2 linked regions of the Cricetulus griseus genome follow. The protein of the gene in region 1 interacts with the protein of each later gene in a pairwise test. Links are inferred from orthologs where the notes say so. Each region holds a gene or a part of one and is shown in the gene's direction. Other genes may lie near its edges. The genes, in order: Fhl2 and Csn2.

Region 1 (3,824 bases):
TATTATTTTACCCACACAGATTTGCAAGCGTGTCTAGTCTTTAAAAATGATTTGCAATCTTAAAACAATACCCCTGGTACTTTTAGTGACCCACAGCTGTGTACAGAGCAGTAGTAGTTTTGAGTTCTCAGTCATCTGTGTTTCTGGTTGACACTAGACAAATGAAGCCCTGCCTTTGTGTTCCAGCTTTTTCAAGACAGGGTTTCTCTGTGTAGCTTTGGAGGCTATCCTGGCACTTGCTCTTGTAGACCAGGCTGGTCTCGAACTCACAGAGATCCGCCTGCCTCTGCCTCCTGAGTGCTGGGATAAAAGGCGTGCGCCACCAATGCCCAGCACCAGCTCCCTTCTTAAACATGTGTAGTTTTGAAGATACATCCAATAACAATGACATGTGTTGTTTTTTTTTTTTCCTACATTTTTGTGACTGGGGGGTGGAGCATTTCCATGTAGTGCCCCCAAATGTAAAAAGATGACGTGCCTTATCAGAGGAAATACCTTAAAGGTCCATTCAAGCATTTTAAGTGGACCACAGTGCTAATGTCAATGATTATAAATTATGTCAAAGTGTCTTCTATTCGAAAGGGAGGCACACAGAGAGGAACATCTTTGAGTCGGTCCATTGAAATTTCACAGAGGAGTTTAGAAACCTACTGTGTCTTTCTTAGAAGCGGTAGTTTAGTATTTGTTAATTCAGTCTTGTTAAGGGCATTATGGGGTATAACCACCATGAAAAAATCAGGATTGATTACATAATATATATTCATAATATGCACACACAGACACACACAGACACACAAACACACACCGCCTTTAGGAGTTTTCCCTGTGTTCTGCTCAGTTCCCATTTCTACATCTTGTTCCATATGCTGGCACTTCAGGGCTAAAATAGAGCCTCAGGGGATGTGCTCAACCTGGGACTCCTGTCCTCCATGGTGTTCTCACATCTTTCCTCACACAGATGCCCCCTGCCCACCCCACCAGTGCTCATCTTTGCTGCAGCTCTCTGCTGTAGAACTCAAGGGTGTAAAGGAGTATGGCATGGCAGGGGTCCTAAAAGCTTCTTGGAAGGAGGCTGGAGCGTAAATGAGTGGTTAAGAGCACTGGATGCTCTTCCAGAGGACTTGTGTTCAAGTCCCAGCACCCACATGGTGGTGCACAACAGTCTGCAATTCCAGTTCGGGGGGGGGGGGTGTCTGACACCCTCTTCTGGCCATTTGCACAAACATGGTACACAAATATATGTTCGGGCAGACATGCATATGAAAATTAAAATAAAAACCTCAAAAATAAAAATAAAAACCATCTTGCCTTTGCAGCTCACTCAGATCCATATGCTAAGAAGAGAAACCATCATCTCCCTTCTGCAGCCCTGGGAACTTTCCAGAACTTCCTAAGTGACTAAGGCAGGCAGAAAAATTATAGTGTCAAGACCAAAGCCCAGATTGGGTTCTTCCCAGGGCCAGGGACCAGGCTCTGGTTTTAGGAATACAAAAGGCAATTTATATGGAAACTAGATACTCAGTTTTGCTTGTTTTGTTCCCCTTTGTGGTTCTGTAGATCGAACCCAGGGCATCATACATGCTAAGTAAACAAGCACTGTGCCACTGAGTTAGAGCCTCAGCTCCAGGAATTTGCTTGGTTTTGTTTTGTTTGTTTTGTTTTAATGCTACAAGTTGTTTAGGGAAAGAGGGCTGATGAGCTTTGCTTGTGCATCCCTCTGTCAGGAGCAGAAGTGGTCTTTGGAAGGACACAGGCACTTACTTCATTAGAGACCAGAGCTAAGACCTAGCCTTGCCATGGCTTGCCAAAGAGGAAAAACTTGATAGTTTCCCAGTGTGGAAAGGGTATAATAGGAATTAACTGGTGAGTCAGAGTTCATATAAGTCTGGGAATTGGTGTGAGTGTGGCTATGGTTATAGTTGTTATAGTATGGTTTATCACACCCGACTCTTTTTGTTTTTTTGTTTTTTTGGGACAGGGTTTCCCTGTGGCTTTGGAGACGGTCCTAGAACTCGCTCTGTAGACCAGGCTGGCCTCAATCTCACAAAGATCCACCTGTCTCTGCCTCCCGAGTGCTAGTATTTAAAGGCGTGTGCCACCACCACCTGGCTTACACCAGAATCTTGAGGACTGAAATTCATCATCTAAATTTCACCAGAACACATGGCCAGTGTGGCATAATTCTGTGTATTGCATCCTTCTTTGTTTCAGGGTGGCCAGTGGCCAAATAGACCACTTGTTGTTGCAATCAGTATACTGTGTACCTTAAACATCTCATGGGGACTAGTCAGACATGAGTCATCAGAAGGACAGAGGTGAAACTAGTTAGTTTGCTTGTTTACCAATACTGGAACAGGGCTGTGTAGCTCAGTGCTCAAATGCTTCCATAGCATGCCTGGCTGGGGGCCTGCCTTCAGCACTGTGAAAAAGATAAAACTGCGGTTTTGTTCAGTCCTTGACACTTTCAGGGTCAGCTCCAACCTGTGACCCATTCTTCTTTCATTGTACTGTACCCCGACTCACCAAGCCCCATCTCTCACCTCAGCTCCTGCTTCTAGGGCTGGTCCCAGGATCACCCCTCTGCAGGCTGGTCCTTTCCTCGACATTCCCAGGGTGATCACACCTCCCTTTGTCTCCCTCCCTCCATCTACTCCCTTTGCTATGGCACCCAGCTCCCTTTCCTCGTGGGGAGCAGGTTTCATTTCACAAGGAAACAGGAAACCGCAGACACTTTTCTTCCCGTGGGGGTTGGAAGCCAGGACCCCACGCTCCGTGTGCAAGCGCTCTTCCACTGAGCGACACACCTAGCTCAAACAGGCACTTTTTTATAGGGTGTTATCGCTCCCTTGCTGGAACCAGTTTCTGTGCCCGTTCTTCGGATGACCCTGAGCTGTGCAGAGTTGATGATTGCATGTGAATTCCCTGCTCTCCGTCTCTCGTCTGATGGCCACATGTGCTTCACAGTGGGCACCAAGTTGAAGCGGATCAAACTGTCATGTCTTTTCGGGCTCTGCTGAGGTTGGTCACCTGGAGACACCTCATCCTGTGTTTTCCTTTTGTTCACAGGTCTCGGGGGCACGAAGTACATCTCTTTCGAGGAACGTCAGTGGCACAACGACTGCTTTAACTGTAAGAAGTGCTCCCTGTCCCTGGTGGGGCGAGGCTTCCTCACAGAGAGAGATGACATCCTCTGCCCCGACTGTGGGAAGGACATCTGAAGGCAGCTCGGAAGCCACAACTTTGTGACGTAGAGATTTGGATATTTTCTTTCTTAACCAGGCAGTGCTGTGTTCTGGTTCCCACCAGCCACCACGAGGTTTCCTCTTGCTGTCCCAGCTTCACGTTAATTGAAATCTTTTAGTTCTCTGCACTGCTTCAGTCCTGTTAACCTTGGATGGGGAGATGACTTGGGATTTTGTAGAAATGCAAGGCAGATCAAACAAAGGCATCCTCCCCTGTGTCTCTATAATGCATCCCTTTCACTGCCTATTTAATTTTAAGTGCAATTAACATTTGTTATGAATGTGTTTTCAAGGGAGGGATGGGGTTTGCAGCTTTGTAACTTCCTTTTTGTGTAAAAACCCAGAGTAACATTTATGTGACTTAGAATAAAGTTATTCAGAATAAAACCTTTGGCCAAGCACGGTGTGTGAAATAATGATTAAATGCTGGGGTCTCCCTTTAAATAGCACTTTACTGAGAGGGCCAGTGACCACTGCCTGCAGTAGGTCCCGATGGGGGGGAGTGCAGGTTGGGCTGGGGCAGTATTCATCAAAATTCCACCACACTTTGTTTTAAGAAAGCCTTCTGGTAGTACCATACTT
Region 2 (3,924 bases), about 150 Mb from region 1:
ATGTTTTGTACACAAGAAGATTACAACCGTAAAACTTGTCCAGAGTCTTGGAATTCTTGATCTAGCTCATAATGTTTTACATGTGAGATATTAACAATTGTAAAAATAGAGACAAAGTCTTCTGTTTGTAAAATAATTGTAGGAAGATTAGATATTACTTTGAAACCATGATTATGGAAATAAGATGAGTTGAAAGAAAAGTGGCTTATAGTGTGCCAGGTAAAAACAAAGTTCCAGTTTAAAGATGGATACATAAAATGGTAAGGATAAAATATAAGAATTGCAGTGGGATTCTCCCTACATGCATAATCTACAAGGGTACAAATTTCTTTTAAACTAAGACAATTAAATTATATGGAAACCCATGGAGGAGTCTTTAGACAAGGAAAGGTTCTTAATGAATTATGCAGCATCCATCCAAAAAACCCAAACCAGCTTTTTACTAATGGAATAATTTTCCACCGTCAAGTATTGGAAAGAATGCTTTGTAAACATATCTAAATTTTTATTTTTCATGCTGAGATCACTCACCAGCAACACAACAGTTTATGCACAGTCTATTATTTCACTCTAGAAGTGAGGCTCCCTAGTGCTGATGTCTTCATAATCTGGAAATGCTGAATAGTTTTTTCATTAAAAGGGTTCCATAGTCATGACTTCTTCATAGTTTTGTAAGGCGCCCATACTCCCATTAACAATAGAGTGCTAACAAAGAAGAAAGGAAGAGAGCTGTGAGCAGAAAATACTGCTGGTAGCTGCTGAAGTCTGAATTTGATGTTAGACATAGGATATTTAGGAGCCAGAGTAGATTTTAATTGACTCATCCCTTACAACTCGTTCATCTTTTCATTCACAGGACCTGACAGCCATGAAGGTCTTCATACTTTCCTGCCTTGTGGCACTTGCTCTTGCTAGTGAGGTGGGTAAAGAAGCTTCCTATGTAATTAAGATGTAGTGAACGGTCCTCTCACTTGTAGACAGTAACAGTAGTGATGGCTCAGTGTGTAATTAATGGAGAGCTTCAGATCTGTTTATTTAATCAATGCTTCTTTGAGAGTCACAAAGTTTTGTTGTCCCAAAGTTCCTATAGGCTCTCAAAACTGGAACAAATGCTTATTGTGTTATTGGACCACCAGTTCCAAATGAAAAGTAAAACAGACAAGAAGTAAAACAAGAAAATAGAAATACATCAAGTAAATATAACTCCACAGAAGTAGACTCACACACGTGGCTTCAGTATCTCATTCTGGTGATAAAGTGCATGCATTTCTTTGATAATCAGGTCAAGTCTTACTGTGTCTGCCCAAAGGGAAATTCAGAGGAAGGAACATATTCAAGAATTGTGGTAGACTTGTAGGCATAATAAAAAAATGCCTAGTAGAAATTAAAGTAACTTCTTTTTTCCTCACTCATCAAAAATTCCCCAAGTTCATCCAATGTAGGAATGTGCCAATAAAAATTATTAAATTATTAGAGAGAGTAAATGTGTTTTCAAGATTCTAAAAGGCTTATAACTTTTTTGGTTTTTAAGTTTCTGAAAGAGGTAGATGACATAAAAATGAAATAGGAAGGATATTTAGTAGCAAGGTAGATTTTGTCACTAATAAGTACTTTTATTTCTTTTTACAAAAGGAATCACTCAGCATATCCTCTGAGGTAAGAGGTTTTATTGAGAAAAAATTTTAATCCTAAAATAACTATATTTTTAATGATCTGGAAGTCCTAATTGGATCTATAAATTAACACATTTGTATTACTAATGTTTTTGCATACTGAGAGCATTTCCAGCAGTGAGGGAAAGCAATTCTGTCTCAGAGGCAACTTGTAGACTTAGAACACCAAAGTGCTTCTTTTCTGTTGAGTTACATTGTGTTAGCCACACTATAACATATTCCTGTTTGGTAAATATGCTGTGCATTGTATTGGGAAGAAAAATATCTAGATAGCTGCATAATTAGAATTTTCCAAGTTAGTTTCTTATTTGAAATTTTTAACTGCCTCTTCTACACCTTTTTATTTGAGAAGCTCACAATCGTATTCTCTGCCAAGAGCTCTCCCTAATTTGACATGCATTTTTATTATTACTATGTGCTTTTTATGGATTGCTCATTGGCTAGTAGCTACAGTCCAAACTAAAGACAGATACCAATAGAAATACATACATGTGCTATACTGGGTAGGCCTGTTTGCAAAAGGATGCATTTGGTTATTAAAGTTGTCATTAGGTAAATAAAAAAGTAAGATGCAATATAGTCCTAAATGTACCTGAGTGTATCAAATAGATACACTCAGTCTTTACCTTGAACTATTTATTTGTATGTGTTATCATTTGTTTATTAGTGAATACAATTATATACATTTCTTTTCAGAATTCTACAAATGCTCAGAGGAAGTGTTTGTTTCTCATAGTTTATTTGGAGGCTAGTATATTAGCAAGTACTATAATAAGTACTCTTAGCTGTCATTAGACTGTATTTTCAACTCTGTTTCTGTGTTTGGTTTTAAGAATTAAATGGGATTTAAAGATCATTTGTAGCCAGAGAAAGAACTATGGTTGTAAAGGGAATTAACATTGCTTAGATGTCTCTTTATATACTGTGCTCACTCATTCACTTTTCTCTCTTGATGACACTCATCTTTCTTGTATACAATAGGCTTATACAAAATGTTTTAGATAGTTTAAATATAAGATTTCATCAATTTTCCTATTAGTAACCTATTAAAATAGCTTACCAGATACCTTAATTTTAATACCCATTGAAAATACTATTTACTCAGTAAAAATTAATTATTTTTTTTATTTTTCTGAAGGAATCTTCTGAAAGCATCAGTAAGGTAAACCCATTATATTTAATATCCATGATTTATTCATGAAGATAAAAGTTTTGAGATTTTTAATGTACACTTTGTTTCTAACAGAAACTTCAGATGGTTGGACAAATGGAACAGCTGCAAGCAAGGGTAAATTGCTCTTGAAGAGTTTATGTCTTGGTTTTGTGATGTGTAATGAATGCCAGAAAATAATTATAGCATGTATGTTCATAGCAAACAGTGGTCATATACCACCAGTGCTATGAAAGCATACTCAAGTGTCAATGTATTTTCTAAATCATGATTGCAGTTACTAGTGGTATTATCTGTTCTTAATAATTAACATAAGCATTTCCCCAGTAGAAACAATGTCCTTTTTATTTTCTAAATGAATATGATGATGAAAGGACACATTGAGAATGTGGCAGAAATCCTATACTGAACACCTGCCAGAAGAATAATATTGCTTATTAGTCTCTTTATAGTTCATTTTCTTCACCTGTAAGCTGAACACAATCTTAATTTTTTTCCATGAATGCAATTAATTGGCCTTTAGTAGAGTTAATGGTTTTAATTCACATTTGGTTTATGAAAACATTTGTACTTTATGTTTACCTAGTCTTAAGGGCATTTCTAGTTCAAAGATAAGTGGAGTGAGATATGGAACAACTGATTGGACCACTGCTTAAGCTGTATAGTAGAAGAGGTTGCCTTCAAATCAATGCTTTTCTGAATAGTGTCAAGTTCCACTATTAAATCACACTTACATAATAGTTGAACTTTGATAGTTTGTTTTCCTCAGTAAATTGCTTGTTGCTCACATTTTTCAAGTCAAATTAAAATTTTAAAAATTGATACATCTTGAAAAGTTTAAGAAAACTATTTTTTCAAAGAGAAACCTTTCTATAAGTTGACCAATATTAAGTGGCTGGCAGAATTTAGCACAGATTAAGGCTGATTTTTCCTTAAAACCAAATAAAATAAATTTTAGTATTGTCCCAGTAAACATTTTAAAATTAATTTGCCTTCAACTATACATGAACAATGAGTTCTATTATCAATCTACAAAAGTTGAGAAATCAATGCGTTTTCATACCTAAGAATACATAACTA

The links.
Region 2: the proteins of Fhl2 (region 1) and Csn2 interact in binary tests that used the Homo sapiens proteins (3 or more experiments, as listed by UniProt). The two-hybrid records come from large-scale screens. The link is inferred for Cricetulus griseus from reciprocal best matches to the Homo sapiens genes FHL2 and CSN2.

Annotation. Positions count from the first base shown.
Region 1 is NW_023276807.1:5,374,318-5,378,141, forward strand, and holds the end of Fhl2 (four and a half LIM domains protein 2), read left to right. Parts: intron 1-3,066; coding exon 3,067-3,218; 3' UTR 3,219-3,643; downstream 3,644-3,824. UniProt on the Homo sapiens protein: May function as a molecular transmitter linking various signaling pathways to transcriptional regulation. Negatively regulates the transcriptional repressor E4F1 and may function in cell growth.
Region 2 is NW_023276807.1:152,936,954-152,940,877, reverse strand, and holds the start of Csn2 (beta-casein), read left to right. Parts: upstream 1-868; coding exon 869-940; intron 941-1,632; coding exon 1,633-1,656; intron 1,657-2,811; coding exon 2,812-2,835; intron 2,836-2,919; coding exon 2,920-2,961; intron 2,962-3,924. UniProt on the Homo sapiens protein: Important role in determination of the surface properties of the casein micelles.